Linked DNA regions of Drosophila melanogaster. Changing the gene in region 1 together with any one later gene gives a genetic interaction. Each region holds a gene or a part of one and is shown on either strand. Other genes may lie near its edges.

Region 1 (10,840 bases):
GACGGCCTCGCCCAATAACTGGTCGGCGGGCACCACCTTGCTGGCCAGACCCAGCTTCTCAGCCTCCTGGGCGCCGATCATATTGCCGGTGAGGCACATTTCCATGGCCTTGGACTTGCCAACGACGCGGGTCAGACGCTGGGTGCCACCGGCACCGGGAATGGTGCCCAGGGCAATTTCAGGCTGACCAAACTTGGCCTTGTCACCGGCATATATGATGTCGCACATCATGGCCAGCTCACAGCCACCGCCCAAGGCGTAACCATTCACGGCAGCAATGATGGGCTTCTGGGTGCGGGCCACCTCTGTCCAGTCGTTCAAGAAGTTGCCCTGGATGCACTGCGAGTAGGTGTTGCCCACCATCTCCTTAATATCAGCGCCAGCGGCGAAGGCCTTCTCGCTGCCCGTCAAAACGATGGCGGAGATGGTCTTATCCTTGCTGAATTGCTGCAATGCGGTGGACAGCTCCTTCATCAGGCCATTGCAGAGGGCATTCAGGGCCTTGGGGCGGTTCAGGGTGATCACGCCTACGTTCTTGCCCTCGCCGGCCACTTCGGTCTTGATGTACTCCCAGTTGTTGTTGGTGGCTGAAAAGAGATGGCATCATAAATGAGGTGATCGTATGTGCGCGAATGTTACGCAATCAATGTTTATTTGCCTGGAAAAGTACAAAAGATGTCGCCAAGAAACCGGCGGCACTTGATATCTTGATATTCCGGCTTAGGTTGGAGCTGGGCATCAATCGCGTGGACTTTGATCCCTCGCAATCAACCATCTACTTACAGGAGCTGCTGAAACGGGTGGCCACCTGTGGCTGACGGGCGGCTGCCTGCAGGACGCACTGGGCGCGGCTAGCGAAGATCTTAGCAATGTTGGCCATTTTCAATTGAAGGAACTCTGAGCCGGCTGCAAGTGCAATTCGTTATCTAATCTGTGGCGGTATCTGGCATGGAGCCACTCTAGAACTTGGGATACTTACGCTGCGAAGCACTGGAGCAATATTGGCGCACTAGTGGGGCAGGTGTGACCGCGTTCGCTCCCACCAGAAATGCCACTATTTCCAGTCACTGTTTCAGTCACAGTTTGGGTCGCAGCAACAAGTGGTTCTAGCATTACAGCTGTTAACGCAAAAGTATTGTTAACAGCCGAAATTAAAATGTGCAACCTAATAACACAATTATTATGTTCTTAAATCTGTTTTAATATATTTACAATATAATACTACTTCTCACGTTTTACTCTAAAAATAAATATACATTCGTATTTAAGCTTTTAATTTTTATGGAGAACTTGAAATAACATTATTTACATAAGATAAGCCTAGATAGTTTGAAATTAACAGTACTTTTTATCAACAACTTGGCTGGTAAATAAGTAAGTATGCGTGATCACATGTTTAGCTTTGTAAAAATTAATTCCTAGACCTTTGGTATTGAAGATGTCTGGGGAAGATTACTGCTGGTCTCCACCAGCCAAATGTGCTCCTCTCGTTGCCTTCTTGAGCCATTTTCTCGACGCACCCGCCAAATTAGAAACACCAATACCACGATTAGGAAGCAGAATATTACTATAACCAAGCTGAAAACATACGCTTGGGGTGCTAAAAGTAAATAAATTAGTATTAATGAAGAAACTTTTGATAAATACACAACTTACTTTCACAGTAAGGAAACTTCCTAGCCCACAATGCGTCCTGGCAAATGTTCTGGTTCTCGCCTTTCAGTCTGTGCTCCGCCGGGCAGTCGTAGTAGATACGGGTGCCATTGGCTACCCTTGATCCTACAGTGAGGATTGCATCTGTGAAGTGCTTAACCATAACGTTTGGCAGTTGGGGAACCACGCACTCCCCGTTCTCCTGAAGAGGATTTGGTCGTGACGCCTTCCTTGTTACAGGAACAGTGGGAGTTATCCTATGGATACTACTTTCCGTAGTTGTACTTGTCGTTGAACTGACTGTAGTCGTTGGTATGGTAACGCCCTCGCAAAGGGACTCCAGCTCATCGTCTCCATCTCGGCAGTCACGGATGCCATCACACAATTTGGAATAGGTCATGCATTGGCCAGAGGAGCAGTACATTTCCCAGTTGTCGCAGTTAGCCTGCTGCATCTGCGCCCGGCACAGCCAACCCTGCTCATCCGAACCATCCACGCAGTCCTGGACGCCATCGCAAACCGCTGTGCTGGCTATGCACGCACCGTAGCTGCAGCGAAATGCATAACCCGGACACCAGACCTTCTCACACATGGCGACCGTCTCATCGGAACCATCCAAGCAGTTGGCGCTCCCATCGCACAGCTGGTCCAGTTGGATACAGTCGCCTCCTCCACAGCGATGCCCGCAGCTTGTGGCATTTTGGGATCCCAAGCAAATGGTGACGGCTAAGGAGAGAAAAATCACCAGCTGAATTGAGAGATTCTGATGCGCTCCGAACATTCTAAATGGGTTCCAATCGACAGACTGACGGTTCCATGGCGCAGTTAAGGGTATTATTACGAGAGTTGTCCAAACCAGTTTGATGATGATACGGCTCTAGCTGTGCACAATTATCAGTCATGGGGTTTTCTGAGCGGCAGTCAGTATTTTCAATGACCGAGCTTATCACGTTTTTAGATAATCCTATCAAAGGGATATTCCAAAGTTGTATCGAGTTTGCCATTAGTTGTGATGCACGTTTTGTGGCGAAACATTCCCGTTTCCAAATCCAAATCCGGAAATGTTTAATATACTTTTGGTTACTAACATGCCTCCAATAATTTGCCATCAAGAATATAAAAAAGTAAGTTCACTAAACAGATTCAAAAATATTTGAACTTGAATAAAAACTTGTTATATTCTTTTATCGTTTATTTATATATTTGTTCATTGTTCTTATTGCTTTTCAAATGCATATTTTAGTTTATTTCTCTGGTGAGTATACTTATGTTAGTACGATAATAACGTGCTTTAGTTTATAATCGAACGCATAAATTATAAAGAAAAGCTTATGGTTGGGTTGGGTACAAATACAGCTCGGGGTTGGCTGGCCGGAAACAAAAAACTTGCAAAATACTTGAAGTAAACTTAAGTAACACGTCAAATGCTTTCCAACAAGGAAAGTCTCGTTATTTCTTGTGCGCAGATGCCGGCGGTGTGCCGTAAAACTTCCGCTTCTTAATGGTGCCTCCTTTGAAGGGAGTTGCTGTGAAGGAGAGATAATTAGAATAATTAAAAAAATTAGCTCATAAATAACTCACCATATAGCGAGAGTAAGTCATTTTTGTTGCTTGGCACCCGCTTGATAACTGTGGCCGGTGTTCTTGTCGGATCTATAACGATATATTGCTCCCAGAACGAAACGGGCAGCTCAAGAAGTGCCTTCATCACCTGCTTCTGGGTGAAAACTTCCGTGTAGATCGCATGCTGGTCGGGATCTGGTGTGGAGTAGCCCACAATGGTGGGGCCAAAGATGAGCGAGATGTTATCGATCGGCATTAGCACGACTGGGCACTGGGCAATTCGTTGGAAGTGCAGTATGAGGAAGGCCAGCGTATCCCTATTGGCCTGTGGTAGCTGCTTCACCGACTTAACCAACATATCCTGGGCAGTTTTGGTGTCAGGATTTTGGACTGCGTTTGCGAAATCCTTCCATTGGCTGGTGGGAATGAGAGGCTCTGTTAGGGACCTCAGGAAATCCTTGACACAACAGCACAGCACATAGATATCCGTGTTGCCCAAATGTGGAGTGGCCTTGCCTCGCAGGAACTGCTCCTTGAGGGCCTTGTACTCCCGCTCCGACGAGGACAATCGATAGAGGCCAACCTCGGTCAGGCCGCGGGCTTCAATCTCATTTACGCAGTGCACAATCAGTGCCGGGATCATGGGTGCAATAGATGGTGCAAAGTCCGTTACATAGCCAGTCATGGTCTTCGTCGTCGGTGTTCCCGTTTGCGGCACACAGCTAACGGTGAGCAGATACCGACAATCGATGTGACAGCGCACCGGGCAATCCCGACATCTCAGCCCAACGGCTCCAAACCGTATGCTGAAGAGTATAAAAAGTATTTAATTAATAAAAAAAACCTACTTGGAGCAGAACTTCTAGTAAGCTTACCGTTTCTGACACTGAACGCAATTGTCGCCACGCAAGAATGTCTTCTGACTGAAGGTGTGGTTCCTCATCAGTGGACGGTGCTGCAGTGGCGTTCCGGATTCAGCGACAACGTGAGGTGCCATAGCATTTACCGGCGTCAGCGGCGGTGCGGTGGCCTCTTTAAGCACCGATCGCCGTGGCGTCGAGGATAGTCCGTCGCCGATCCTCTCGTTGCCGGCAATTACAGGCAGCGACTCAATGGTCGACTCTGCACGAATCACGCCCTGTCCATCCTGGGGTATGGTGACCTTGGTGGTGGCACAAAAGCGCTCAGCGCCTTGACCCACGTCCACCGTGTGTTGCTCCACTCCGATTCCGACGCTAGAGCGCCGCGATTTGCCAGTGGTTGGTGTAGTCCCGGACATACTGCCATTCAGTCCAGTGCTCAATCGCGATCTCTTGTTGCCAACGCTAGGAATCTGGTTCTTGGGCAGCGAAGGACGATGCTCTCGCCAAGATTTTGATGTGCGCACATCGAGGAAGTCGTCCTCGGAGTGTGTAATAGACAAATCCGACAGCAACGATCCGGTGGAGTTGATGTCGCCATAGGACTTGTCCTCCCGCACGGCATTCAGGGACTTGCGCTTTCGCGACGAGGGCAGTGTGTGCAGAAAGGCCAGCTTGTCGCGGGTCTCGTTGTTCAGATTGCGCTCGTGTCGCAGCAGATCTGCCACAGCCATGATCTTGCTCTCCATGGCATCTCGTTCGTGTTCCGCCTGGCGGCGCGCCTTGATCTCCATGTCGATGATGCGGCGTGCGTGAAAGAGTTTGCCCTCCAGGTCGCCCATTTTGGTCAACGACTTGTCCAGCTCGTTTTGTATCCTGGCCGTCTCGGCCGCGTAGCCCGCGCACTTTTCGTGGTACTGCTCGAACATGCGCAAGAACCGCAGGAACTCTAAATGGAATACAAGCATCATGTAGGGCTTCATTTGCCTTGCGTGTTTTCAGTTTTACTCACCCTCCTCAGGAGTTCCATCGGTAAGCACTTGCATGCAGCGTCGCAGATCATCGAAGGACGCCAATGCGGAGAGCGCCATTTTTGCTTGTCTCGGTAGTTCTACGAATCGGTTTTCACTCGCAGGGACTGCCTGCACACTGGTTTCCTTGATTCAACTTCGAAATCTACTGAAAATCAGTAGTATTTACCCAAAAACGAGTGGCAAACGGAGCACGCTGCAAAAGACGCGCTGAATTTTTTCAAGTTCCGTTGTTTTCAAATTGACGCCATCTGCGCAGTGTGACCATTAATGGGTGGCTCGAAATAACAGTAGGGTAGTCATGCTAACAGAAAATATCGATCTGATCGTGTTAGAGATGATAGAGATTGTTTCAAGTTAACAATTCTTTCGGAATTAAATAAAAAATAATTTAATGTTATCCTATTAATACTTTTGAAATGATTATATTAATAATAATATAATTACAATATTTTTTTTTATTTACAATATGTCTTATATAAATTCTTATTCACATAAGCTACCATCACTAATATTTATTCCGACCCGAGTAGTGTTGCTAAACGAATCACAGTCTCGATTTTGTTTGAAAAATGTCTGTCCACTCACCCAATCCTGGCTTAATCCTCCAGAGCAAGCGTTTCAATGGACTGCGGAACATCCTGGAACGCGAAGGTCCCTTCTGCAAGGACGGTTTCGCGGCCTCGTCGGAAAACCTGGAGTTCTTGCAGACCAAGTGCCAGGTTCTGATCATCGGAGCCGGTGGCCTGGGCTGCGAACTGCTGAAGGATCTGGCTCTGATGGGCTTCGGCAACCTGCACGTCATCGACATGGACACCATCGAGCTGTCCAACCTGAATCGCCAGTTTCTGTTCCGTCGCACAGACATTGGCGCCTCCAAGGCGGAGTGTGCGGCTCGCTTCATCAACGCAAGAGTGCCTACTTGCCGGGTGACGCCGCATTTCAAGAAAATCCAGGACTTCGATGAGTCCTTCTATCAGCAGTTCCACCTGGTTGTCTGTGGCCTAGACTCCATTGTCGCCCGGCGTTGGATCAATGGCATGCTGCTATCAATGCTGCGATATGAGGAGGACGGCACCATAGATACCAGCTCCATAGTGCCCATGATTGATGGCGGCACCGAGGGCTTCAAGGGGAACGCACGCGTCATCCTGCCCGGTTTCACGGCCTGCATTGAGTGCACGCTGGACCTGTTCCCGCCGCAGGTCAACTATCCCCTATGCACCATAGCAAATACTCCCAGGCTTCCGGAGCATTGCATTGAGTACGTAAAGATCATACAGTGGGAGAAACAGAATCCGTTTGGAGTGCCCCTCGATGGGGACGATCCCCAGCACATTGGTTGGATCTACGAACGGGCACTGGAGCGGTCCAATGAGTTTAACATCACCGGAGTGACCTATCGCTTGGTCCAGGGCGTTGTCAAGCACATCATTCCAGCTGTGGCCAGTACCAATGCAGCCATTGCCGCCGCCTGTGCTTTGGAGGTCTTTAAGTTGGCCACCAGCTGCTATGACAGCATGGCAAACTACCTGAACTTCAACGACCTGGACGGAATCTATACCTACACCTACGAGGCCGAGAAGTCGGAAAACTGCTTGGCGTGCAGCAATACACCGCAGCCGTTGCCGATTGAGGATCCCAACACCACCACGCTGGAGGATGTGATAAAGCTATTGTGTGATTCCCCGCGTTTCCAGCTGAAAAGCCCAGCCTTGACCACTGTGATGAAGGACGGCAAGCGGCGGACTTTGTACATGTCCGGGGTAAAGAGCATTGAAGAGGCCACCCGAAAGAACCTTACTCAGAGCCTGGGCGAACTGGGTCTACACGATGGACAGCAGCTCACAGTCACCGATGCCACCTCGCCGTCCGCCATGACTCTGCAGCTGAAGTATCAGTCCAATGAGGTGGAGATGGTCTAAAGTGTATCACAGTAGATAACAATTTTAATACACAAGTCGTATATGTAAATAAACAGCAGGCTTAGCCTCGAGTTACGCATCTAAATGCTCATATCCAGTATGTACTTCTTGCCGGTGAATCCCTTGAAGCTCAAGGCAGCGGCCGCCGCGTCTTTGAACTTTGCCAAGGGCACCATCTCATGGTTGGGGGCCACGAACTTTCCCTGCTCCATCAGCTCGAAGATCTCCTTGAACATTTTCGAACGCTCTGGTGAACTGTAGTTCTCCTTGGACCAGCGAGTCATCCAGAAGCCTCTAAATGCAATGTCCTTGAAAATGAGGGGTCCAGTGGCCACTGTGACGGGTTCGCGGGACATTCCGCCGTAGGTGACCAGCACTCCGCCATTGTCTAGATGACGCGACACCTCCGTGGCGCTTTTTCCGCCCACACAGTTGAAGGCCAGACGGGGCTTTTTCAACTTGCCCGACTTGAAGATGTCACTGGTGCGAATTTCGGCCTCTGTTAGGACCTCGGTGGCTCCCAGGCACTGCAGCATCTGCTTCAATTCGGCAATTTCTGGGCGGTCGCGTACAATGCCAACGCTATTGATGCCCCAGGCTCGGCACAATTGGTGCACTGCCTGGCCGACGGCGCTATTGGCGCCGTTTTGGATGACCGTGTCACCCGGACAGAGCTGCACAAAGTCCTTTAGCATTCGGTAGGCAGTGGTGGGATTCACTGTCGAGGTGGCGGCCTCCGCCAAGCCAACCTTCTTGGACACGATCAATAGTTGATCCTCCTTGTAGACGGCATGGGTGGTCCAGGTGCCCAGGCCACTGGCCAAGGGAATGACGTGCTGTCCTGCCTCAAAGCCTTTGACTTTGTCGCCCACGCAGATGACCTCCGCCACACACTCATTGCCGCCAACGGCTGGAAACTTGGGCTTCACCGGGTATTTACCTGTAAAGGATTTATAATAATCATTATCAAAGTGACTTTAAACAAGCTAGGCTTCTTTAAAATTTAAAGCCACAACCTTGAGCATCGTTCAAAGTACAAAGATGTACTGATAACATTCGTTTAACTTTAAATGGATTACTTCTGATTATCCCATAACTGACTTTCAAGCAAGTGGGTATACTTAGAATACAAGTATCTCTGATCTTCAGTTCTTATCCAGTTGTTTCAGCAGAAGATTATCGTTATTAATTATGCAGTTCATGCCGGTTATGGCTATATTTCAGTTGTATCATGCATAATATATGTTTGTTTGTGATATATCCTAATGGCCAGCATACCCTGAATGGTGTTTATGTCCGCCGGGTTAATGGGAGCTGCCAGAATCTTCACCAGCACCTGGTTGTCCTTGGGATCGGGAAGTTTGTCCTCCACCAGTTGCAGAACCTCCTGTGGTTCGCCGTGCTGTGTGTACTTCAAGGACTTGGCCACCACCGACATTTGGCGGCTCCATTGGGCTGCGTTGATGCGAGATAAAAAGCCTCGGCGCAACATTTGTTAGTAGTAGTTATGATTTTTGACCATCAAAAGAGTAAAACGAAAATTATTATGCAGGTTAGTATGACCGTCGCTACATTGCTGCCAACTTGAATTTTAATGACGCCAAAGAGATTTATAATGTTATTTGCTGGTATTTTTGGCTAAGCGACAAACGGTCGCCGTGTTTTCTCCAAATTTCAGGTGTCTCAAATCGATTTTTTAAACAAAACCTCGAAAAATACTCAAAAACTGAATTGACCGGTGATAAAATGGACGCGTAAGCAAACAAATGTTAAAATTCCTAGCTTAATGTTGCATAACAATTGCGTACTCTTGCAGTTTACAAGACGAAGTGGAGTCGCTGGAAGCCATCCTAATGGACGATGTTTGCATTAAACGCACACCCAGGTAAGTAAAACAATACAATATATGTTTTCGATACTACAGCGAGTATTGCAATTCCCGAGAAGCGGCGAGGTGGAGCAGATCGAGACCACGGTGCTGCCCCTGACCGGTGAGGAGGAGGAGCAGCAGTACGTGTGCGTTACCCTGCAGGTGCATCCAACACCTGGCTATCCGGAGGAGAGCCCCACATTCAAGCTGCTGCGTCCGCGTGGATTGGACGATGCCCGCCTGGAGGCAATCCGAAGCGCGTGCAACGCCAAGATCAAGGAGTCAATTGGTTTTCCGGTCGTTTTCGACCTCATCGAGGTGGTGCGAGAGCATCTCAGTGGCAGCAATCTGCCCAGTGGCCAGTGCGTTGTCTGTTTGTATGGATTCGCTGATGGCGACGAGTTCACACGCACCGAGTGCTTCCACTACCTGCACAGCTATTGCCTGGCTCGGCATCTCAATGCCCTACGTCGCAACTACCAGGAGGAGTTCGATAAATTGCCTGCCTGGCTGCAGAAGACGGCCGATCCCTTCCAGGCGCTGTGCCCCGTTTGCCGTGAGCACATCGGCGACGAAACGGATAGCCTCAAGTGCGCCATGCCGCCATCTGAGTTGCTGAATGCTCCGGAATTTAAGGTGACCGAGGAGCTGCGTCAAATGCAGCAGCGCATGTCGGAGCTGTATCTGCAGCAGAAGAGTCGCGGCGCCATTATCGATGTGAACGCCGAGGGCTCTGCCGTGATTTCCATCGAGACGGAGGAGGACATCAGGCGCAGGCGCCGCCGTGAGGAGGCCGAGGCAGCCAAAAAGCTAGAAGGACCGTCGAAGGAGGAGGTTATCAAGCCCACAACTAGTTCCACATTTGCGCCAGTGGTGCAGGAGACCCACCGCATCATGCCGGAGCCGACCAACAATAACTATCACCACAATCGGCGGCACTATCGCGGCGGTAGGCGTCACCATCATCACCATCAGCATGGACACCATCATCGGGCCGAAAGGGAACGGGGGGAGCAGAATGCGGCTGCAGCTCCAGCCAACGCAGGTGGCTCCACATCGAATGCGGTCAACACGAATAGCAAGCAGGCGAAGGCCCAGTCAGCCAGTTCCGGGCTTGCCAGGTGACGATGGCTTCCGGTAGAAATGGGGATCCGGATACCCATTGCGTTGCCATGCTGCTAATACACAATGAAGCACCAACCCAAACGGCCCAGGTTTAGTTTTATGAGGCGCACTTCTGTGACTTTGTTTGTGTTCGTACGTTCGTATATATGTATTTATGTATTTATGTTTAGTTAGCTTTAGCGAGCCGTGTTAGCTAATTTGGACTATATTAATGATGATATTTAGTTGTACCTTAACTATAATGATATTTATAATAATTTACAAAAGACTTGCGGCATCATGCCAAGCCGATATTATTAGGGCCTTTGAAAGCTAGCGCGTAGAGCAGCAGCATGTATTTAGGAGCACCAACTGGCAGCGCTGGCGTTGACGAGATTACACCACAGCATCGGGACGAACGAGGAGGAGACGGTATTGATATCCACTTACGCATAATCTGCAACTGCACTTCAAAGTTTAGTCGAAATGAAACCCCCTCTGGCAGCCCATAGCACAAAGAAACGTATGAACCCAGCTTGTACTTGAGTTAGTTGGATGATTAAAGTTGAAGCGGCATTTCTAGTCAGTAAATGGTGGTCAGAATAGAGGGAACGTAGAAGGAGGAGGAGGAGGAGGAGTAACCCCGATACAGGGCATCTGCATTAGCATGCATGCACACATATTTAAATATCACAATTAATTGAGTGTTTTGTAGAAAACCAAATAGTGATCCGCACGGATCGATCATGGTATTATATCGAAAATTCAATTTCAATGTGTCAAATAACTACTACGATTGAGAACTTCAATGAATAAATCAAATTCGAAAATCAA
Region 2 (11,916 bases), on another chromosome or scaffold:
AAGGATCTGTCCACGACTCCAACGAGCAGTCGCAAGTACACGAATAGCCGGCTAAGCAAGTCCACTGCCAAATTAAATCTGGGATCCTCGTTGGGCGCCTCCAGCTGCAGCCAGCACCGGAGTGGTTCCAGTTCCACTTCAAAATCCATGGAGTCATCGACCAGTTGCACTGGAGCTGCCCGAACGGACGTTTACACAAACACCAACTCGAATGATTACCCCAGTCTGGCTCCAACCACGTCTGGTTCGTCCACATCCGGGGGAAGCTGTCAACAGGATCAGGAGGAGAATGTGAGTGCATCCGTCTCGTATAGCTCGGTGGGATCGCAGACCTCTCAGGAAAGTGGTTGCAGTCGCACCACTGCCATCAATCCAACAGCTGCCTGCTCCACCGGATCGGCCTGCTTGGGTGACTCTCAGGCCTCGACATCGGCTTCTACCTCGTCCGGAGCCGGAGCGTCCAACCGTTGCCAGTATGCCACTACATCGACGACAAAGGCAGCTCGCCAGGTTAATGCCAGCGCCCAAACCCAGGAGCGTTTCCTGACTCGCAGCAATCCTCCAGCTGCTAGTGGAGCGGGGTCGGTTGGGGCAAACCCGACAGCATCTGTTCGGCAACGGCGAAACGGTTCCAGCGATGTTGTCCACCTGGAAGTGGTGGTGGAAGAGGGAGCTGGCGGAGGGGACGGCGGCGTGGTGGAGCCCGGCGACTTTAGTGCCGAGGAACCTTGGGCCAACTGCGATGAGGAGAACAACTGTTCCGATCTGGAGGAGATTTGCACATGCCAGAACGGTAACGGAAGCAGCTACGGCGGAAGCAATGCCAGTCTCAGCGAGACTTTCGACATGGACGCCATGGATCCCGATGAGCCCATTTCCTTGTCGCTGTCCTCTGCCTCAGCTGGCTTCACCGAATACTCGCTGACCAATCCCAGCTCGCTAATGTCTCATCAGCGCAAACGAAAGTTCAACGAGGGACGTCTGCTGGATGGCGGCGACTACTCGGTGACTATATCTTCCAGCGGCGAAGTGGGCGGACCGGGTTCAGGTGTGAGCGATAATTGCCGCAAGCGGATTGCCTATGATTTTGCATCTACGCCGCGCTCCTCGCAACATTTGGGACCCACGGCAGTGCTATCGGTGACGCCCTCATCGCATCTGACTAGCTCCACGCCGGGATCGGCTTTGGGTCGTCGCACCCCACGTTCCGTGCCGTCTCGTGACAATCCGCCACCAGAGCTGCAGCACTGGTTGGCACAATTCCAACGATGGTCCCATGTCGAGCGATTGCTGGCCCTGGACCGTCTCATCGATCACTGCGATCCGTCTCAGGTGCGGCACATGATGAAGGTGATTGAGCCGCAGTTCCAGCGGGACTTCATCTCCCTGCTGCCAAGAGAGCTAGCCCTCTTTGTGCTCTCGTACTTGGAGCCCAAAGACTTGCTGAGGGCAGCGCAGACCTGCCGCAGCTGGCGCTTCCTGTGCGACGACAATCTGTTGTGGAAGGAGAAGTGCCGCAAAGCCCAGATCCTCGCCGAGCCGCGTAGTGATCGCCCGAAACGGGGACGCGATGGCAACATGCCGCCAATTGCTTCGCCCTGGAAGGCCGCCTACATGCGTCAGCACATCATCGAAATGAACTGGCGGTCGCGACCTGTGCGCAAGCCCAAGGTACTCAAGGGCCACGACGATCATGTGATTACGTGCCTGCAGTTCTCTGGCAATCGCATTGTGTCCGGCTCCGATGACAATACACTTAAAGTATGGTCAGCGGTGAACGGAAAGGTGAGTAAATCGAACAAGCAATCATTTAATGTTTCCCTGCTAACGAGATATCTTTCTCAACAACTGTAGTGCCTGCGCACTTTGGTTGGTCACACCGGTGGTGTTTGGTCTTCCCAAATGTCCGGAAATATCATCATTTCAGGCAGCACGGATCGCACGCTCAAAGTCTGGGACATGGACAGCGGCGCATGTGTGCACACACTTCAGGGGCATACGTCCACTGTGCGGTGTATGCATTTGCATGGCAGCAAGTAAGTTAAAACCACACACAACTATCCACTAACCAATGCTGATTGTTGACGAATTTCTCAACAGAGTGGTCAGTGGCTCGCGAGACGCAACCTTGAGGGTTTGGGACATTGAACAAGGCTCCTGTCTGCACGTTTTGGTTGGTCACTTGGCTGCTGTGCGTTGTGTGCAGTACGATGGGAAGCTGATTGTGTCCGGAGCGTATGATTATATGGTGAAGATCTGGCATCCGGAGCGCCAGGAGTGCCTGCACACACTGCAGGGCCACACAAATCGCGTCTACTCGCTGCAGGTAAGATAGTCAACACTTCTTTGTCGGACTTTGCCGTAAACCATTCTAAATTTCACACAGTTTGATGGCCTGCATGTGGTATCGGGTTCATTGGACACCTCTATTCGCGTGTGGGACGTGGAGACGGGCAATTGCAAGCACACCCTGATGGGTCATCAGAGTTTGACCTCTGGCATGGAACTGCGTCAAAACATTCTTGTCTCGGGCAACGCCGACTCGACAGTCAAGGTGTGGGACATCACAACCGGACAATGTCTGCAAACGCTGTCGGGTAAGTTTGAATCCTCCGTGTTTACTTTTCACTAACATGCTGTAAAAGATCCACTACTAATCTGGTACTCCTTAAATCCCCTTTAGGTCCAAATAAGCATCATTCTGCGGTCACCTGCCTGCAATTTAACTCCCGATTTGTGGTGACCAGTTCCGACGATGGCACCGTGAAATTGTGGGACGTTAAGACGGGCGACTTTATACGTAATCTTGTGGCTCTGGACTCTGGTGGATCCGGCGGCGTTGTGTGGCGGATTAGGTAAGTCCAAGACGATATAAATCCGCTCATTATAAATGTAATTAACTATATCTAAAAACTTTTCAGAGCAAACGACACTAAACTCATTTGTGCCGTCGGTTCCCGCAACGGAACGGAGGAAACAAAGCTAATGGTCCTCGACTTTGATGTTGAGGGTGCATGTGTGAAGTGCTCATAGGAGACGGTGGGGCACTTCCGGTGGAGCCTACGCCGCCGTCTCGCTTGGATTCAGGCGGTGAACGGTCAGGGACGGGGCAGCTAGTATACAGCTTCAAGCGAGATTTCATTGCAAACTCATCCAAACACAGAAAAGCACACACAGACAGATGCCGCGGATGTGAGGGTCCGCAACGTAATGTTGAATGCCTTGCCAACAAAACGCAACTGCTCACATACACCACACACACCATTAACACCACACACACCGTAACACACACACAAAAAACATTAAACAATTAAGGGAAAGAAGAGTAGGGTAGTCGGGTGGTCGGGGTGTGGCTGTGGCTGTGAGTGTATATTGTTAATAATACCCTTTTAAATTACGTTGCTTCATAGCCAAAATTCGTTTTCCACCGTAGAATAATTTCGCTTCTTAGTTTTTATTGCTATTGTGTATATGGCAAGAATCGATTACCTTAATGATAATATTATGATTATGATTACGTATTATAAAGCGCAGATTTACAACTGCAGATGCAAATAATTGTTTCGCGTCGTGTGAACCTGAGAGAGCGTTTATGAGAACAGAGCTTTATATTGATTAAATTGTAATTTGTTTAAATGAAATTTGGATAAGATGGATATGTTAATATTGGCCCACCACTTGAGTTGAGTTTGCCGCCTATTATGTTTACATTTGTGGTTTTGTTTCGTCTCGTCCAACTTGTTTTGTTTAATTGTACTTGAACGGGTATGTACCTAAATTCTATTATCACGTTCTGATTGTTTCCCTTTTACATTTGATTTGATTCATTTGTCGTGCAGTAGCATTAGCGATATTGGCTTCCAATTCCAAATTCGAAATTCCTCATTTGCCAGGAACCTGCCACATTTGCCGCACATAGCGTTTAAGAGTCATCTGCCGAACTCATCGAGCAGCAACTCACACCCACGAAACAGCAACTGCAACATGAACACTGCAACACAACAACACTCACACACGTGAAATCATTAAGCGAACATATATTTTAATTATAGACTGATTTATTAGTAATTGAAATTAATCTACAAATATGTATGTGTAATGGTACCGTATGTATTTCAATAAAATTTATCGGTTTAAGCATAAATCTGAATAAACGCAGGAATAATAATAAAAATAGTTAAAACCATCTATGTGCCACATGTTATTGCTTCACGGAACTCTGGGAGCTTTGCAGCCAGAAAATCTAAAATTGATAAAAACCAAATTGATCACTTTCAGTATATGCGCGTAATTCACTTTATTTGTTCATTTTGTGACTGGACTGGAGTTGGGTTCACTCCGAAAAACAATAAAATATTTAATACTTTATAATAACACTAGAGTAGTTCTATGATTGGACGATGCTTGGATAGTTTCTAACAACTGCTCTTGGCAGATACCCTCCGGGTACCGACTATTTGGAGCAGGAAACATTTCCATTTGCGAGGGGTTGCGAATTCATTTACGGGATTATTTATACAGATTAACTTTTCTTTAATCAAACAAATCACTTCAATGCGATTCAACTCCAAAAACCGAAGTGGGTGAGTAATAAACTTAAATTTAAGTTATGGAAACTAAGTAACTATGAACTAAATGGGTAATTGACTTTGAGAATTCCACGCTGAGTCATTTTTAGATTTTCGACTTCTTGCTGCTGTGTCCCTCAATGCCGAGATTGCAGCGGGAGGCTACGTCCTGGGCTGAGGTGACCGTGCTGGGCACTGCACCGCCGCCCAGAGCCGAAATGTTGCCATTGCTGGGTCGCTTTCGCGTGGGCGAGTGAACCGGTGACTTCTGCTTGAGGCACTCCACATCGTTGAACACAACTTGGGCACCACCGCCACAAGTGGGAATTACATTGCCCTTATACAGCTTCGTCTCCACATCGCCATCCGTATCCGCATCCTGCGAGACGAGACAGTACTTCGTAGTTCCGTGAGCAGTCAACTCCTTCAAGTCGGTTAGTTTCGTTACGGATTTGCGATTCTTCAGATACGGCTGCATAATAGTGCCAAGCGGAACGGGATTAGCTGCCCGATGCTCCAGCCACTTGTCGCCTGCGGATCGAGAGCGTCTATGCCGATTGTTGGCCGCTGCTGCACCCTGTTGGGATATAAAATTATCAATAGATATTGCAATATTCTAGGATTAATCATACACTTACATGACGTGGCGTTGCATATATATCTGTTCGTGTAGCTGGCACCGAGGACTCCTCCGTGCGCGCCGTATATGCACCGCGATCTTTCTCATTAAGTATGTTTTCCGAGCTCTGTGACCGCGGCAAACTGGGCAGATCTTCGGACTGCAGAATGTTGGAGACCAATCGCAACTTCTCGTCCTTGATGCGCATGCGTTCCTGCAATTTCACTCGCTGTTCACGCAGCTTTAGTTCAAACTCTCGCTTATTTTTGTCCGACTCAACGGCCAGCTTGGAGCTGAACTTCTTCTTTTGCTTTTCCTTCTCGTGCTCCTTTTGGGTGAGCATATTCTCCTTCTCGTTCAGCTTGAAAGTCAGCTCTTCAATCTGCCGTTCTTGCTTGCTTAGCGTATTGTTAAGCACGTCAATGGAGCTCTCGTGGATGCGAACCTTCTTCTCGAGTGCCGCACTGCGATCGCGCTCCTGCTTGTAAACAGCCTTTAAGGAGGCGAGCTCCGTGCGCAGCTGAAGATTGTCGCGGTCAAGGTTCATCAGCATCTGCCGGAAGCTGTCACCTGAAAGTTGTGGAATTAGTATTTCAATGTTAAGATTAAGAAAGTGACGTCTTACATTTAATGTCCAAGTTGGCACGCAGCTTCTTTCGCTTTTCTATGCGCTGCTCCAGATAATGCATTAGCTCGCGGATTTTGATCTGTGCCTCGGGACTGTCCATTTCGTAGGCGGGAAAATCGGGTCCCAAACTGTACACCAAACCCACGTCCACCTCCAAATCCTTGGCCTCAGGAATGCCCAGCTCGTTTAGATTATTAACGGCAATCTTGAACAGCTTGTTGGCCTTGCGACGGCCGGGAGTCAGACCCAAATCTTGCTTCATAGGAGTCGCCCGAGCAATTTGCACCTCCTGGGTCATCTCGGCGAACTTCATCACTTGCTAAACGGGATAAATAAATTTTAGGGACCAGAGTACATTGTTGTCAGAAAAATAGTTTACCATATTCTCATCATAGTCCTCAATTCTTGGGTTGATGCACACAATCATGGACACCTGGCCTTCGCCATCGAAGTAGTTTTTAAACATGTGTGTGATCTTGGAGTCTCGATAGGGGACCTTCTTGGGTGCCAATCCATTGCTAGCCGCGAGTTGGTTCTCGCGCAGATATTCCAGGCAAGTGCGCAGCGTCATCAGCGAATTATTGATGTTGCCCGCCTCACGGAGTCGCACACCGGTGTTCTTGGTCCTTGAGGATCGCTCACTGCCCGCCAGATCCACCAGGGACAGTTGACTCACTGTGATGTTTTGCCGGTCCTGAACCACATTCTCACCCTGGCTATCAGTGGGCGCCTGCACCAAGCGTATATTGAACACCGAGTGACTCCTACTGGATTCTGCATTGAGAACAGTGTGTCCCATTCGTTTGCGCTTCTGGCCCATTTGAAAGACCTCGAGGGCGTCCTCCACGGTCTTGACCTCCACCTCTGTGACGCCGTGGACGAACATGTGTCGATTGGCATCTTCACGAATGATTTTGCTCTGCAAAGTCCTGTCGGGTCAAGAATACAGTTAGATTTCTTTAAATGTAATGCTTAATAAATACTTACTTCTGTATACCCGAGTCCTCAAGGAGGTCGTAGACGCTGTTATTGTAAATTTCAATATAGGTGACAAACACCGAGTACATGTTGTCCTCATCCAAACCCAGCAGCGGAATTGGCTCCACGGAGGCCTGGGATGCAATTTCCGGATCCGAGTCCTTGTGCCTGAAGGCAAATCGTCCTGAGCCAGCAAAACGCTGGTTCATCTCGTGTTGGCGCTCCAAAAGCGCATCCTCTTCGGACAGGATCTCGAAGCCATTAAGCTTGTCCGGCTTGAAGACGAACTTCTTGGCCTGGTAATCTGAAATGGTGCGAAAGAGCACGTCCAGGCAGCGCGGCATGATGCCGCGGTGTCGCAGGTTGCCGGTCATGGTGTACGTTTTTCCACTTCCAGTCACGCCGTAGGTGAAAAGCAGACTGTTTCGGCCTTTCAGTAGGTTCTCCACCAACGGCTGGGCCACAGCTGCGTACACATCCTGCTGCGTGGCATCCGGCTGGAAAACGTGCTTGAATATGTACTGAACCTCGCGCTGGGCGCCGTTGTGTGGCTTGTGATGCTGCAGCAGCTGATCCTGCGGATTCAGTGCGATCGTCGTGGAGTTCTTGACCCTTAGGGAGGTGAGATCTGCGTCGGATTGTAGTGGCCGCACTCGACAGAACACATTCACTGGATCCCTGGCCTTGTCGGAGGTGTCTCGTCGCTGTTTCTCCACCGTTTGATGCACCCGCGGAGTTTTCGGGACGACACGCATCGGCGTCCTGGGTCTGCAAATGGGTATTCTCATTGATGGAGTTGTTCTTTCGGGAACTGTCATATCACTTACACTGCCTTCATGTTGTCAGCTCGTTTTTGCAACTAATTTGATATACGGGAGTTGGGTTTCTTCTTGTTTTGTTGCTGGAATCGATCTCTCTTTTAGTTCGTTACCTTCAAATTTACAGCGCCAAGCGACGCCACGCTTGGTTTTAGAGTGACCGAACTTTAGAAAGCGGTTAATGCTGCAAATACCATCCCCTGCTCCAATATATACTTGATACATACTGAAACCGAGGCTATGTACAGTGCGTGCCATTTGAATAGGTTAAAATATTTAGATATACTAGATTTTAAACTAATTTAATACTTTTATTTATGATCTCACATACCAAATTAAAAGTACAATGTTTATAAATTAGTATGATATTAAGGTATGGAATGGTTATGATGATGCCAAATATTCTTTTAAAATTAATTAAAGATCATTTGAGGTCCCTATTGCTTTTTATTAAACTTTAGCACTGAGAAAATTTTCCGCATTAGTGCCGGTCCGTTCCAGTAGCCGTTCATCATCAGCTTCCAGTAGAGCACCGGCATCAGCTCCTTCTTCATAAAGAACATGGAGTACCTCTCCTTGGACTGGTCCAATGGAAAGGTCTCCACGGGGGTGAGGTTGTAATCAAACTCAGCCAGGATGCAGGAGCTGTAGCCGGTGACGATGGGGCAGGACGAGTATCCATCGTAGATATCCGTTGGGGCTTTGCCCTCGATCGCCGCCATTACGTTTTTGAACACAACCGGTGATTGGGCGGCTGGAGGTGAAAAATCAATTGAATATTCTGATCAGGATTCCCAACCCATTTACCTGCCGCCGCGGCCGTCTTCGAGTTGGGACTGGACGCCGAATCGCCGATGGCGAACACGTTGCTGTACTTGTTGTGCTGCAGCGTCAACTGGTCGACGTCCACAAAGCCAGTGGGGGTTACCAGTTTCTTGCAGTTGGCCACCACATCCGGAGTGCTCATCGGCGGAGTCACATGAAGCATGGAGTACTGAGAAAGATATAATACTTATATAAGTTTAATTTCATGGCCTTCAATTCTCCTATTTCTGCAATACTATACGACTTTAAAATTGATCTTAGTTAACCTACTCTTCATATTTCTCGCTTTAAGTAGAAAGATATAGTTCTAGGATCTAGATCTAGATCTATATAGTATCTAGAATACCCAATTAATTGACCAGCACTTACCGTTTCCTCATAGTGAACTCCTGGTTTGGCGAGATCCTCGAACACGGCTATATTATCTTTATGTCTCACTTCAACGAGATTTCTTTGAACATTAAGCGTGATATTTCTCCTCTTGATCAGTTTCATCAGGGCCTCTGCGTAATGCTTAACACCAAAAATCACGGGAAGCGATGTATTGTAGATGATATTGACGTTGTCGCGACGACCCATCTGAAAAGGGTTTCAAATTGAAGTTGTTTGCCAGATATTCTATCTAAATGATGCACACCTTCCTAAAGTAGTGCTCAGATATATAGGCGATTTTCTGCGGTGCACCTGCACACTTAATGGGACAATTGGGAAACGTGAATATAGCATTTCCTTTGTTGGTCCTGCGCAGACATTCGTACACATGATCCACGTACTTGGGCGAGTAGATGGAGCAAACATTACTGTCGGGGGTCTCCAGGGCCTCCACCAGGCCAGGTATCTATGGATATGTGGATATGGATATTAGCAACTATTAAACGTACTGATACCCTACGTACCTTTCCATAATTGAGCTGCAGTCCGGTGGCGATGATCAGGAAGTCGTACTTGATGGTCTTGCCACCAGAAGTGCTAACCGTATTATTATCCGGATCGAACTCCAGCGCCTTCTCCTTCACCCATTTGGCCTTTGTGGGCAGCACATCGGCCATTTGGCGGTGGCTCTGATCCAATCTCTTCATACCACCTCCTATTAGGGTGAACATGGGTTGGTAGTAATGTTTCTATGGGGAATTATCGCGCTATGTCATAATGGATTATTTACTGCCTTTGGGCTTACTCACATCTTCCGGTTCCAGGACGACCACCTTGTCGCTGCCCAAACGTGAGGACAACTTGGCGGCCATGGCACACCCACCGGTGCCACCGCCCACAACCAGCACTTGGCATCTGGAAAAAATAGGATTTACTTAATTGCTGGAATATACAATGACAGACACCTCAAGGGAGATTAGTACAGTCGCATGACCACACCCACCATCAGTGCCATCTAACCATGGCCAACAAGTTATCTCTTCGTTATCGCCATTAATTAGTTACTAGCCTAAACATACTAATTCAATTTGTTTTGGTAGATATAGATATAGATTTGCCATGCCATTTGTTTCGCGGAAAATGTCATAAACTTTCGCAGCTATATAAACAAACTTACTCTTGCCGCTCGCGGTTCACTCGAGATGTGGACAGGAATCTGGTGGAGAAGGCCGTTGGAGCATGGTTGTGGGTGGCTAGGAGAAGCTTCTGGCACTGGCTGATGGTTCCTGGAAGGCGACGGTTCATCGCAACAGCTGGATGATCTTCGATCCCTCAATCTGCGTTAAAGAAAAACAAAACGGACTGCAAGTGCCCACAACCGATTGAAGACTGGCAAAAAAGAGCTTTCAATGGGGGGTTATCAAACCGGCTGCACTGGCAAAAAGTTTGGTCTATTTCAAATTTAGAAAAAACTTTAGAAATTTAAAAAATGCCGAAGATGCTTAGGCGGCACTGTGTAGTGCTTCCCAACATTTCGACCGGCTATCAAGGAAAACAAAACGAGTGTGGGAAAATTTGTCAGTGAAATCGAACATAACAACTGATTTTGAACACAAGTAAATAACACATTAGAAATTGTTAGAATTGTTTTAAGCGTACTAATTTGGAAAAAGTGTCAGGCTTCTAAAAATGTGGTATTTCTTAATTTCGCCCGTCGGCCATAAAAATCAGAGTGTACGTGGCTGAAAACCAGTTTTTATGTGGTAATAAAAATGGGGAAAACGCAACAGGTTGCACTGTAGTTTTCGGATGGGTGTATTCATAGCTTAACCTTGAAAGATGGCAAAAGCTTTTCAGCATGCTTTTGTACTCAGCTGTTTAAAGCTCATTTGGTGCTAAATAATCCAAAGCTCTAAAGTGCGCGAATGCTCGAAGCACTTAAATACTATCTACAGTGGATTTTGCCTACAGACAACACATGACATCATGCCTTAAAATACGAGGACTTAATTCTGAGAACAGCAAAGAATTGTGTGCTTATCGGGGCTCAATAAATAAAACAATCTGTAGGTGGCGCGTGTGCTCGGACCACTTGCTTTGTGTCTACAGTGGAACCCGGCGATAAGCGACCCATGAGATCATGCCCTTAAATACGGCTCCTCAGCGCTAACAAAGTATCATTTATTTGCCTGCTTATCGGGGCTAACAAGCGTTTTATTTGCCTTCTTAGTGCATCGGTTTATATTTATGGTATACCTCCAGGGGCAACCTTATCGAGTTTGAAGAATTTGAGTTGCATTTGCTGGTAACTGGCCATTACACTGTAAAAATATACGCATGCTTTCTAAAGGATAAACAAAAAAAAAAAACGCCGAAAAACTCGCATATTTTTATAATCAGGCATGTGGTTAAGTAACTGGTTTAATTTAAAATTGAATATTTTCACATTTGATTTGATTACTTGCGAGTCTTATCAAGCAATTCCTATAATATGTGGACATTAAATAAATGGTCAATTAATAGATTGCACAGACTCTAATCAGAATATGAAGGTCACCAATAAATCTTATTAATAAACTGCAGCGGTCATCTACTCATATACGTCAAACTCTAAATCAAGTTTTAAAAATTGCAACTAATATAAATTAAATGATTTTTGCAATTTTTCAGATGTTGATAACAATTTAATTCCATATTTAAATCAAAGTATTTCGTTAAAAAAGGAGATTTAAAAAACTTGTCTTCCCTTAACTTTCGTATTGTTTGATTTTTCTAAGGGTCTTTTAGGATCCCTATGTCATTCATCGTTAAGGGTTTTACTTAAAATATAATGATCGGACCCGAAAAGTTATATAATGCAAATGTTTTATGCCCCGGATTTTTCTGGGACCTTGAATCTATAGCTACTTCAGAAATAGATAAAGATATTCAAGTTAAATTAAACTCTTTTAAGATTATATCATGAAAAAGGTTCCAGATATTTCAATTAAAATTAAACATGTAATTTATATAAATTTCGATTTCTGATGAAAATAATAACAATAGTAAATTAGGGGTCTTTCCACCAAGCTTGTTGAGTACAATTTCCCTTCGGATCCAGGGATTTTC
Region 3 (10,774 bases), on another chromosome or scaffold:
TCTGTTTCTGCTGTTGTTTTTGTGGTTGTTGGGGACGTTGGAGCTGGCGTCGTCGCAGTTGTTTAATTATTTTTTTTAGCAGCAATTAGAAGCGGAACAAAACAGAACAGAACACAGAGAGGCGATACAAATACCAAAATACACATTCATTAAATCGGCACCACAAAAGGATTATAGTGTTTGATTATATAGCAACATAGAAAAACTATCACGACACATCGCAACCTTTGAGCCCCGGCAGCAAATTAGATGTTAGCAATATAGAAAAGTTATCTTAAACTAACAGTGTAATCGAAAAAAAAAACTGAATATTTAATCAGCTTCGGTTAATTGCACTACTTGTTAACCAACTTACATTATCTTCTGTATTTTGAAAACATTTTTAAGAGACTACGAAATTCTTTTTTGACAACAAATTTTTTTGCACGTGAGTACAGAATTTTTAATAACTGGATTCAGAATTGTACTTGTCGATCTAGAGTTTTGCTGATAATAGTTTTCGCATGACTTGCTGCCATGGCTCTTTGTAAGGTAGATGTAACTAGCTATGATCCACATATCCTAGAGCGGCACTCACTTGCATTGTTTTTATTCTTGTCCAGCGTCGTCGTGGCATTGTTGTGCATCATTGGCGATGCCGCTGGTGCTGATATTCCGCCTGGCGTCCTATGATTTTGCAGCGGCGTTGCAGGCGTGGTTGCTGGCGCCACTGGCATTGGGATGATGGCTGGCTGTAGATCCTCGATTGGCCGCGTGTAGATGGATTTCGTGCGCTCAGGCCTAGAGGCCACCGGTGGAGGTGGCGGCTGTTGCTGCGGGTGCTGTGGTCCCAGCATATCGTCCTCGTTAGCGGATGAATGTTGCGATGTGGATGAGGAGACCGTGTGTCCGACAAAGTTGTACGAGTGCGATTGACTTATGCCCATGTGATGCTGGTTGTGGTTCTGATGCAAAAGTGGCTGCTGCTGCTGAAGGAGGTGCTGCTGCTGCTGTTGGTAGTGGTTGCCCAGAATTTGCCCAGCAACGGCCACGTTGTTGGCGTTGGGACCCAGAGTCATACTGCCCAACTGGACGCCAATCAGGTTACCTCCGCTGTTGGAGCCGTGCAGCTCCGAGTCTGTTGGCGTGCTGCTCGGACTGCTGCTGCTGACGCGGCTGAGCGATGAACCTGGCAAAGGAGAGAGCGTTTCAATATTACAAATAAGCTATATTCATAAATTTTCTAAATATGGCGGAACTTAAAGCAATCTCAAATCAACTAACAAAATATGTTGTGTTATGTTGCAATCCTAGATCTTAAATCTGACTGAGTGACCAACCTGAATGCGTCGTAATGGCATTTGTCATGTACTTGGAACTTGGCCTCTGTTTGGTAGTGTTGTCGAACCACTTGAGCACATCCAGCACGGCCTGGGGATTCTTCTTCTGCTCCTGCTTGCTGATGTTGGAGTTCATCAGGAGTCGCGCCCATGCCTCCGGCATGCCCTGAAAAAGGCAACAGGTTAGATTGTTAGATGGAATTAAATAGAACAATTTACTGCGATGGGAGAACATCTAGAAGGCGCGGGGTAAAAAAATATTTTTGGCTTTTAGGTACATCGATGCACGGCCAATTATTGTGATCGGAGAATGATGAAGAGCCAGCGACTAGAGGCCTTTCAGCTACGAATTCCGGGCAGCCTGTGTTGGTGCAATGTCGTATGGTCTAGTGTAGGAGTTTTGTAAGAGTACGAAGATAAGAATGAACCAATAGTAACAAACAAAGGGTAACAAAACTATAAGTAATATCGATCGAACTTGAAACAAACACCGACTCGACAAAATCTACAGACAAAGGAGCACAATGAGACCTTATTGAGAAACTAATGAAGGCAAGTTCCGAGAAGTTAGTCGAGAAGTTTACTTACTTTCATTGGCAGCTTGAATAATAATAGAAATTGATATAGAGCAAGAATCGCGAGAGATAGATTTAGACAACAGAATGTATGTAGAAGTACAGTGTTTTATATGTATGTATATATGGTGAGCGCCAAAACAAATTAAAAATATATTAACAAATTTTTGGGTGACCTGGTGAGCAATATTTACTTGATTAAATTTAATATTTAGAAACCCGAAATGCAGTTCAGTGTTTGGGGTCTGATCGAGGCCGCCGGTTTGATTACAATCTCGGATCGAATTTAAAATTTGGAATATTAATAATTGCTCAATTTATGGTCCAAGATCGTGGCGTTTATAATAACTCCACACATTAAATTGTAATGCAATTACTATCGTCACCCAAAAATGTAATATGTAATCTGCAAACGAAACTTTAAGTCTTTGGTGACTGTGTTTTTGCATATAAATTTGGTGTACAAAAGCTTATCAAATAGAGGACATAAGCAGTGAAAACCGAAGATTTCCGACTTGCTATTCTTAGACAGAAAGCCGTAGGCATAATGGCGAGGCAAACGCGACTGAAGGTGTCCATAGACGAGCATAATAGAAAACTCACGGTAAACTCGCCGGTGACAGCATCGAATCCCACATGGACCGTGTGCTCAAAGTTCGTGGGATAGGAGATGTTCGGCTTGGAGTCCGTGTGCGAGGGCTTCGATCCTTTGATCTTGCTCTTCAGCGTTTTCTTCTTCCGATCGGAGTCGTCGGGTTCTTTTTGGGAGAAGAGAAAAAAGCACATTGTTAAGCGGACCAGAGGTCTTCACATGCCGTGCTCAACTAATCGAAATGTACTCACCCTTGGGCAGCGGACGCATGTCGGGCGGTACATCTCCCATACCGCCACCTCCCAGTCCTCCGCCACCGACGCCCACTCCTCCTCCCGATCGTTCATTGCCGCCCCGGTTGCTGGTGAGACGCACAGGCGGCGCCGGCGGTTTGTCTTCCTCGCTGGACATGGATTCGTCTTTGTGTGCTTCTGGCTCTTCTGGTTAGCTCCTGCTTCCTCCTCCTCCGCTTCGTCTAGCGCCCCGTTATGCACAGCTGTTCTACGCCCAGAAAACAGCTGTCGAGAGTGGGAGAAAGGGATCAGTATGTTGGCCATAACTAAGTATTTCGCCTTAACTAAAATGTACTAAATATGAGACAACTATCTTAACGATTTTGTATCATTGATATATTTTCAATTCTTATATTACTAAGAAAGACTATACATTTTTTAAATAAGTGCTTTTTCCAAGAAGAACATATAATTTTAAATGTAATATGTGCTAGATGTTTTCTAAAGCAAATTATTTAGAAACTGGTGATTTCATCAACACAGTTCGAAATTGGGAACAGTGCAGAAATGATTTAATGCTTGGAGTATTCCAGGGGTGCCAACCTTCTGTTATCTATCGCGAAAAGTGTTCCGCAGCTTATCTTAGTATATATTTCGTTCTGTATTCTTTCCCCAACGTATTGCAATCGCGTCATATGCTTCTACAAAATCACAAATTTGTCATACAACTACAAGAGATAGATTGTTTGCATATATTTTTCTCGAACACTTTGGCGTTGTGTGTTTCACACCATTCTGCACAAAGTTATTCATTTTTGGCTTTTGATTATTATTTTTTTTTTACCGATCTTCATGAAGATCACGTCAATACTGTGTGCTCTAGATTTTTTGGCACGCGGAAAGCACTTTGTTTTGCTTTTTGAATATGTTCAAAAACACAACACCTACACACACACACACACACACTGGTTGGCTGCAGCAGGAGAGGAGACATATAGCCGCAGTTATAAATTTATCAATATAGGCCGTCCGGCGAACTAATTCGGACTGTGGGCCCGCTGCTCAGTTGTTCCGTCAGCGTGTCTCCCACCTTCGAGTGTCACTGCCACTAGAGCAGGCTGCAAAAGGCAACAAACAACATACATCGCTCCAAGAGATTGTCTCGAGCACCCCAGCTCGCGAGAGTGCCTCCCCTACATTGCTTAAAAGCTGATTGATATGGGTATTCGAATTTTGTATACTCTCCGAAGCTAATTTTATAAATTAGTTGAGACTATACATTTCAATTCAGCAATTATTGCGCATCTATGTGAGGAACTTAAAATATTATCCTATTTAAGTTAAGTGTGCATTGATCATAATTGTATACCCACATCTATTCACTTTTAGTTCATTTATTTTAAATATTCATTGGAGCACCTATAGAGCATATGGAGTTAAAAAATATGACCCAAAATGGAATAATCATTAAAGGACTATATTTTAATTTCAGTTTCCATTAGACGCAAACCACTGTTCTCACACAACACACTTTAAGGGTATCCTCTCTACCTCAGTTGCTCCGCTCTCGCCCACGTAAACGATCGAGAGCCATAAAAAATTCGTTGCGATAACAAGAGTGGCTTCGATTGCACTCATAATAAAAACAAAGCAGCTCACGCATTGGGAATTACAGCAACACAAATGAGGAAATTAAGCAGCGAGGACAGCAACAACATAAACACACTCGAGTGGGCGGCATCGCAGCCAAACATATGAGCGAGAGGGCGAAAAGGAGTGGGAGCGCAGAGTGGCGAGGAGAGCAAGGCGGCTTTGGCGCCTGTCTGCTTTGCCGGCGACGTCGACTGCGCTGCTTTTATGATTCATTTATCATCGTCAGGCGTCAAGAGTCAATGCAGCTAACGGGAGGCGGAGAGTCTGGGACGAGGGGGTGGCGAAGTGTGAAAACGTTGGACAAACATTAACATACAGTTCCAACAGCTGTGGTCAACTTAATAGCATAGCGGGGATCTAATAAGATATCAACTCCAACTTTTGAATCATCAGAAAAAAGGGTTCTTAGTGACCAATATATGTACATATATGTGTACATAAGTATATAAGAGAATCATAGGATAAAATACCCAAATCATTATGTGTCATGCGGTTCATTCCGACATTACCTTTCTACCCCAATTTATCAAGTGCAATGTTTTCTTGCTAATTGTTTTTAAATTCACCGATGTAAGTAGATTGTTTACTCAATAGATACGCTCGTTGATTTCAATTACATATGTATGTATGTCGATACATACTGAATTTAAGATAAAAAGTAAAGGAGTATCGACAAATAGAAAGTAGTAAACTTGCTGTGTGATATATTCTTGACCGCAACTGTATATCTGTACTATAGGCTTTATGGGCATACGTTGGTTTACTGGCTGCTTGCCCAGAGATCTATAAACGTATATATGTATGTACATATAATATGCATGCAAACATACACACATAGGTGAAAATTCGTTTTTAAATCAAGCAAGAACAAACTTTTCGGGAGCGTGTGGGCGCCCAGAACTGGGTTAACGATGTACCGCATTGTGTTTGATTTCATTGACGGTCGAACTTTAGGTAAAATCGATAAAAAATGTTTTTCTTTCTGCAGGGGCCCATGCAAAATTATTCCCTAATGAGAAAAACACACATTGTAGGCACAGGAAACTCGACAACACTTGCGGCATTTAAATTAGCGACAGGGGTTGTCAAACGCAGGGGAGCGGAAGGGAGGAGGGTAGGACATTCAAAGTGACGCAGGCCTAGGTGCATGTTGCAACAACAGCGACGCAAACGTGGCGCTCGCTCCAAGAGCTGAAAGAAGCCACAAACATATGCATACTTCTTCGCCACGTTTACGCGGAGCCAAAGTTTGTGATCAAGCTTCTTGATTACTTTGACGACTGCTTTATGTTAACTTTCTATTAAAACTAAACTTAAGAATTTATTCATGGAATTCATTTTACGCAATTTTTCCGAGGATTGCTGTATAAATATGAAGCCAAAACATGACGAAGATCACCTTCTGCTGTCCGAAGACTTTAAGTAAGTTATCTTAGTATCAATATACAAAATGTAAGCATTAAAAATGATACGATGATTATGGTCGGTGCATATTTAGCGAGTTGCCACGCATAACTGCTGGCGACGGAGACTCTCAGCCGCTCCGACGTTGTCTATTTTGGTTGCGGACGCCAGCCGAAAGCAGCAGGCGGAAATGTTATGCCTTTTATATTCCTCTTTTCAGTTCCCTACCGCGACCGCTTCCGCGCGTCCCTGTCCCTTCCGCTTTTACCTGTGACCGTGCTAAGCAAATATGTTTTTCGTTGAACGAAGGAAGGGGGTGGTGCACTGGCGCACTGGACATGTGCCGTTAGAGCGGTAACTGTTAAATGCCAAATCGACTGCGAAATGTTGTTAGTTATTAGAGCTTTATGTAAATGTCTTGTATCGTGTCACGTGTGTTAATAGCGGGGGAAGGGGCATTGGGGCATTCCAGCTTGTTGACATTTGGTTGCTTTATTTTTGGGCTGGAAATTCGGGAGCAGCAATGTGCTAATCCAAAATAATGTGGCGTGGAAACCACTTGAAACGTTTTCCTTTAATCCACATACACGCACACACACACACGTGAGTTGGAAAAATCAATGTGTGCAACCTCTCCTTAGGCGGTGTGTGTGTGCTTGTCTGTGCATTGGAAGCCAGACCAATTGGACTAACGGTGCACTCTCTTTTTATGAATGAAACTCCCTCGCCCCGCTCTCCACAAGACCATTCTACCCGCTCCACTCGGCCACCACTCTCCACTTGAACTCACTGCAAGTACAATATGCCTTGGCTGCCTTTCTTTTGCACGGTGCACCCTGTACGCCGCTTGCAGTCGAAGAAGAAACGCTTGCGATTCACGGATTCGCGTGGACACCACTTCTCCACTGGCTTCTTGGAGTTTTCCGAGCCCACAACACTTGGCCGCACTCGCACACACTCCAAACCGCACACACACTGTATTGTTTTCCAGTTTTCTCTGGTGTGTGTCATAAATGGCCGACGGACGAGAGGCACCAGCAGCAGTTAAAGCGCAGCAATCTTATGGCGCTCCGCAAACTTTCTCGCTTTCTAGCTTCTTTAGCAACGCGCGCGCATTTTCGGTCCTTGCATCACCCACTAATTGGTTTACATTATTCAGGGGTTTGTTAACTACGAAAAATAATTACAGAAAGACGACAAGACGGCCGCAGCAGACAATGTAGCGATGGCAAAAATATATCAATATATCGATAGCGAACAGAAACGAATATATTCGCTCCGTGACTTTTCACAACATATCGATGAGTTTTTTGTATTGTGATTGGCGACCTTTGAAAAAGTGTTTTTCAAAAAATACCACATCAAATTTTGAGTTCATAATAATCTCTTTGTTCCAAATATTTTTATTTCCAACAAATTGCATAGTGCCAATAAAGTTTGGGGCGTGTCTAAATGCCTCCATGAACGATTGTTGACAGAAATGAATGCATTTTTAGATATGGGTTGAAACTTCAGATAGCGAAGTTACTTTAGATGTTTGAACTGGCGAACAGAAAAACAGCCATTATCTAGTACCCTCTTTAAGACTAGGTTTTTCTTTAATTTTGAAAGATGAAGATAGATATGAGCCTAAAGTGTTTTTAAGATGTCCCTGACCACGCTGCGAAACATACAAGAAAGCGCGCAGTCGAAGCGCCTCAGGCACAGCTGCCTCAGACCAAGGAGCAGTTGTCCGAACCGCAGGTAGTTGGATTGCTGCAGGGTGTAGCGGGCTAAGGAGATCAGGGCGGCTTTAGAGTGGCTTCCCAGGATAACGGCATACTCCGCATTGATGGCCAATTCTGTAAAAACATGCAATCGATATAAGCAATTAAAAGTATTAAAATGGGATATACTAATGGTGGTTTGACTTCCTATTAAACTCTTAATTAAATTAAAACGATGTAAAAGGTCTTAAATCTGTCTCTAATCTTGAATCTAATCAAATTTTATGGTTGGTTCAAACAAACCAACTGCACATGCTGGAAAATTTTCTTTTGAATTTATTAAGCCCAAAACGGAAACGTTTTTTCTGGGGTTAAGAAAACTGCTTGGGTGTACTCTTTCATGCAGAATCAAATAGCAAAATCTATACATAGCGTACATAGGATTTAAATTTTCGTCTAAGAAATCACGTCAATATGTGTAAAAACATTGAAAATTGGTTAGATGGCTTCAAACCGCTTTTATTTTTAAATCCTAACAAGCCTTTTTACCGCACAGGCGGAGCTTTACCTTTTCTGCACAGGATTAGGGACTCCATAAAGTTGAGTTCCAGGACGTCGGCCCTTAGCTGGTGGGCCTCGCAAATGAGCCGTTTGAGCTGCTCATCGCCGCAGCCGTCGATCATGGCGCTGATGTCCAGAGACCAGTGGGACGCTCGCAGGACGAAGATCTCGCTCCACACCACCTGAAAGATGGCGTCTTGTTGGCAGCGATCCAACAGAGCGAACTGCTCGTTGGCCTTCGCCTGGCGCAGGCACGTGACAAGGATCTGGGCGAGGATCTGGAAGTGCAGCGCCTGGGAGTGGGGCGTCGGGGATGGCGCCGCCTGAGATGGCGGAGCTTGTCTCCGGCCAGTGCGGTAGAGAGCCACCTGCTGGTTGCGCGGACCGCGCTCCTCCTGAACCGCAGCAGCGTTCATTCCCACGGCCAGGCATCGCTGGAAGCGGCAGGAGGGACACCAGTTCCGCCGCGCCTTGTCCACCACACAGTTCCCGACCAGAGCGATGCAGGCGTAGCTGCTCCCGCGCCGCACGCTCCGCTTGAAAAAGCAGGAGCACCCATCGCAGCAGGACACGCCGTAGTGCTTCCCGGAGCTCTGATCGCCGCACACTGCGCAGGCACTGAAGTTCGACATGGTCACCGGTTGGCACTGCTTGCCAATGAGCCAAAGAGTCGCCGCGGACTGAATCAGCTCATCCCGGATATTGGCGGTTTTATATGCCACCTGGATGTGCTACACCCGCAAATGATATGCAAACCAGTTACACAGAGCAAAAATATGTTTCCTAACTAGAGATGGAAATTGTATTTCAATGGGATCCAAAGAACAAATTCCTAAAAGCGAAATATCACTAAAATATATTTTATTCAAACTTAGGACTTTCAAAACTAGAATGCAAGCACCAGAAACCTTTTAAAATAATTAAGATATTTGTGTAAGAAATATATATAGTTTGATAAAAATTAAACAGTATCGGTATACGATAAGTTTTTGTTATATATCAATCTCGTATTTAAATATTTAGTCGTAGTCAAGTTAAGATATAAATCCAAAAAAATTTGATATAGATTTCTCCCAGTGTAGTAGGGCCTTGTGCCAAAGCGTGATTTGAGGATTTTTATTTGCCCGAGACGCCCCTGGCAGGGGGCGTGGCGCGTCAAAAGTGACAATCATCTACTACTATTGCGGACCGTGTTAACAATTTGTAAACAATTATTGTTTTGCTCTGTGATTGGACGTGCGCTCGCCACTCGAGGTGTCCGCGTTGAGGTCCTTTTGTCCTGACATTTCGGGCAAACAGCGAAGACGTTCTTTGGGGGTTGGGCTTAGAGAAGTTCTTATTCCGGAAATTCTCGAACTGTTTAATTAGACGTTTGTTTTAAGTCGCAACTTTTACCTAATTCTAGGTTAATAGGCGAATCACATCTTAAACAGAGGGATATATTAAATAATGAGTTCAGTCATAGAACGGCTTAGATCTCTTCGTCGGTGATATACACTGATAAACAATTGGGAGCGGGTGGAAGATTGCATTAGTCAATCGAATGATCTCAAACTTGCCTTAGCCAACCATTTCAGGCCTGGAAAGTACTGTAATGCAAGTACTTGTATTAGTCAGTGTCAGTGACTAATTCCTTCCATACTCCTTTCAATAGGTTCATTCCTAGCCAGTTACTAGCTCACGTTGGTCTAAAAATCTTCTTAAAAGCAAGCCCATAAAAAGAGAGGTTGCTCGGATGACAGGACATTGGGCATTTTTTACTAATCTAGTCTATATTCGATTTAGTCCATCAGTAAATGAAAGATTAAATTAGGGTCATTCCAATGATGTTGAAGAACATCAAAGTCTTTAAGGATATGGGACTATTTAACAAACGCTTAGTTAAATTCAAATAGGTTTCTAATAATCCGATTCTCCAAAATATTGTTCATGTTGGTAAATTTAAATGTAATAAATAGTAAAAGATAAGTTCAAAATAAGCTATGTCATTTGTCAACATTTCCGTAACTCTTTTTTGTAACAATATATAAATTTTGCATGAACATTTTATGGTAATGACACCATTTAAATTGTGCAAAATAGCTCGATATAAAAAACATTAATTCTACAACTAAAAAAAATTACCTATGCGGACCGCTTCAATAAAAATGTCTTCCTAGCTAATAAATATTTTAATAAAGCGAAATAAAAATATGACATTGCATTTTCCTAGTTAAATATTTTTCGTCACAAAAGATGACATCAGAACATTTTTATGGCGATGGTGCGATCGTCACTAGTTTTTAGTAAATAATGAAAAATTTAAATCCAGGAGCAGGATATGAATTAAGGAAGGAGAAAAGTCATTTTACTTAAGTCAACAGCATTTATTTTGGTCCAGCTTAGGGCTGGTCGGTCTGGCCAGCAGAACCACGTTTTCCAAAGTCACATCCCTGGGAACATAGAACTTAAGTTCTGCTTGATATCCGTGGGATCGTAGATGCTCCAGTCGTCCATAATCCAGAACCCGCTTGCACTGTTGGCCAATTTGTTCGCGCTCCTGGCGAGTTAGACGCTGCGTGTTCGTCTCGGTGAGCTGAAAGTCAGCCGATTCCATGGCCTTACGCCGCTCTCGGCTTAAGCCCGTGCCACAAACTGCCCAACTGACCATTTTGGTTAGGATAACGAACTCCCGTGGTCCAATTCCAGCTTCCTGAAGAAACTTGCGTCCCACGTAGGAGCGCCAGGAGCA

What was found.
Region 2: of tum (region 1) and pav, changing one enhances a phenotype caused by changing the other (phenotypic enhancement), as found in Drosophila melanogaster (one study listed by BioGRID).
Region 3: of tum (region 1) and Pak, changing one suppresses a phenotype caused by changing the other (phenotypic suppression), as found in Drosophila melanogaster (one study listed by BioGRID).

Annotation. Positions count from the first base shown.
Region 1 is NT_033778.4:13,853,319-13,864,158, forward strand, and holds tum (tumbleweed), read right to left. Parts: upstream 5,372-10,840; 5' UTR 5,168-5,371; coding exon 5,089-5,167; intron 5,026-5,088; coding exon 4,092-5,025; intron 4,023-4,091; coding exon 3,235-4,022; intron 3,180-3,234; coding exon 3,103-3,179; 3' UTR 2,832-3,102; downstream 1-2,831. Other genes in the region: Echs1 (Enoyl-CoA hydratase, short chain 1), read right to left, coding at 1-587, 784-880; CG6553 (uncharacterized protein), read right to left, coding at 1,419-1,600, 1,657-2,434; Uba3 (Ubiquitin-like activating enzyme 3), read left to right, coding at 5,680-7,032; CG16935 (uncharacterized protein), read right to left, coding at 7,113-7,972, 8,311-8,524; CG13344 (uncharacterized protein), read left to right, coding at 8,779-8,786, 8,849-8,917, 8,980-10,027.
Region 2 is NT_037436.4:4,238,593-4,250,508, reverse strand, and holds pav (pavarotti), read right to left. Parts: upstream 7,776-11,916; 5' UTR 7,632-7,775; coding exon 7,621-7,631; intron 7,562-7,620; coding exon 6,803-7,561; intron 6,745-6,802; coding exon 6,195-6,744; intron 6,135-6,194; coding exon 5,813-6,134; intron 5,758-5,812; coding exon 5,207-5,757; intron 5,146-5,206; coding exon 4,675-5,145; 3' UTR 4,276-4,674; downstream 1-4,275. Other genes in the region: ago (archipelago), read left to right, coding at 1-1,785, 1,855-2,036, 2,101-2,326, 2,387-2,597, 2,684-2,855, 2,922-3,033; Sqor (sulfide quinone oxidoreductase), read right to left, coding at 8,049-8,365, 8,419-8,605, 8,806-9,015, 9,074-9,274, 9,333-9,557, 9,618-9,723, 9,986-10,113.
Region 3 is NT_033777.3:6,347,144-6,357,917, reverse strand, and holds the start of Pak (p21-activated kinase), read right to left. Parts: upstream 7,023-10,774; 5' UTR 6,567-7,022; intron 4,796-6,566; exon of another isoform or gene 4,379-4,795; intron 3,831-4,378; exon of another isoform or gene 3,668-3,830; intron 3,481-3,667; exon of another isoform or gene 3,323-3,480; intron 3,005-3,322; 5' UTR 2,898-3,004; coding exon 2,738-2,897; intron 2,653-2,737; coding exon 2,498-2,652; intron 1,486-2,497; coding exon 1,320-1,485; intron 1,169-1,319; coding exon 578-1,168; intron 44-577; coding exon 1-43. Other genes in the region: Hr83 (hormone receptor 83), read right to left, coding at 7,406-7,617, 8,051-8,675; CG18048 (uncharacterized protein), read right to left, coding at 10,400-10,774.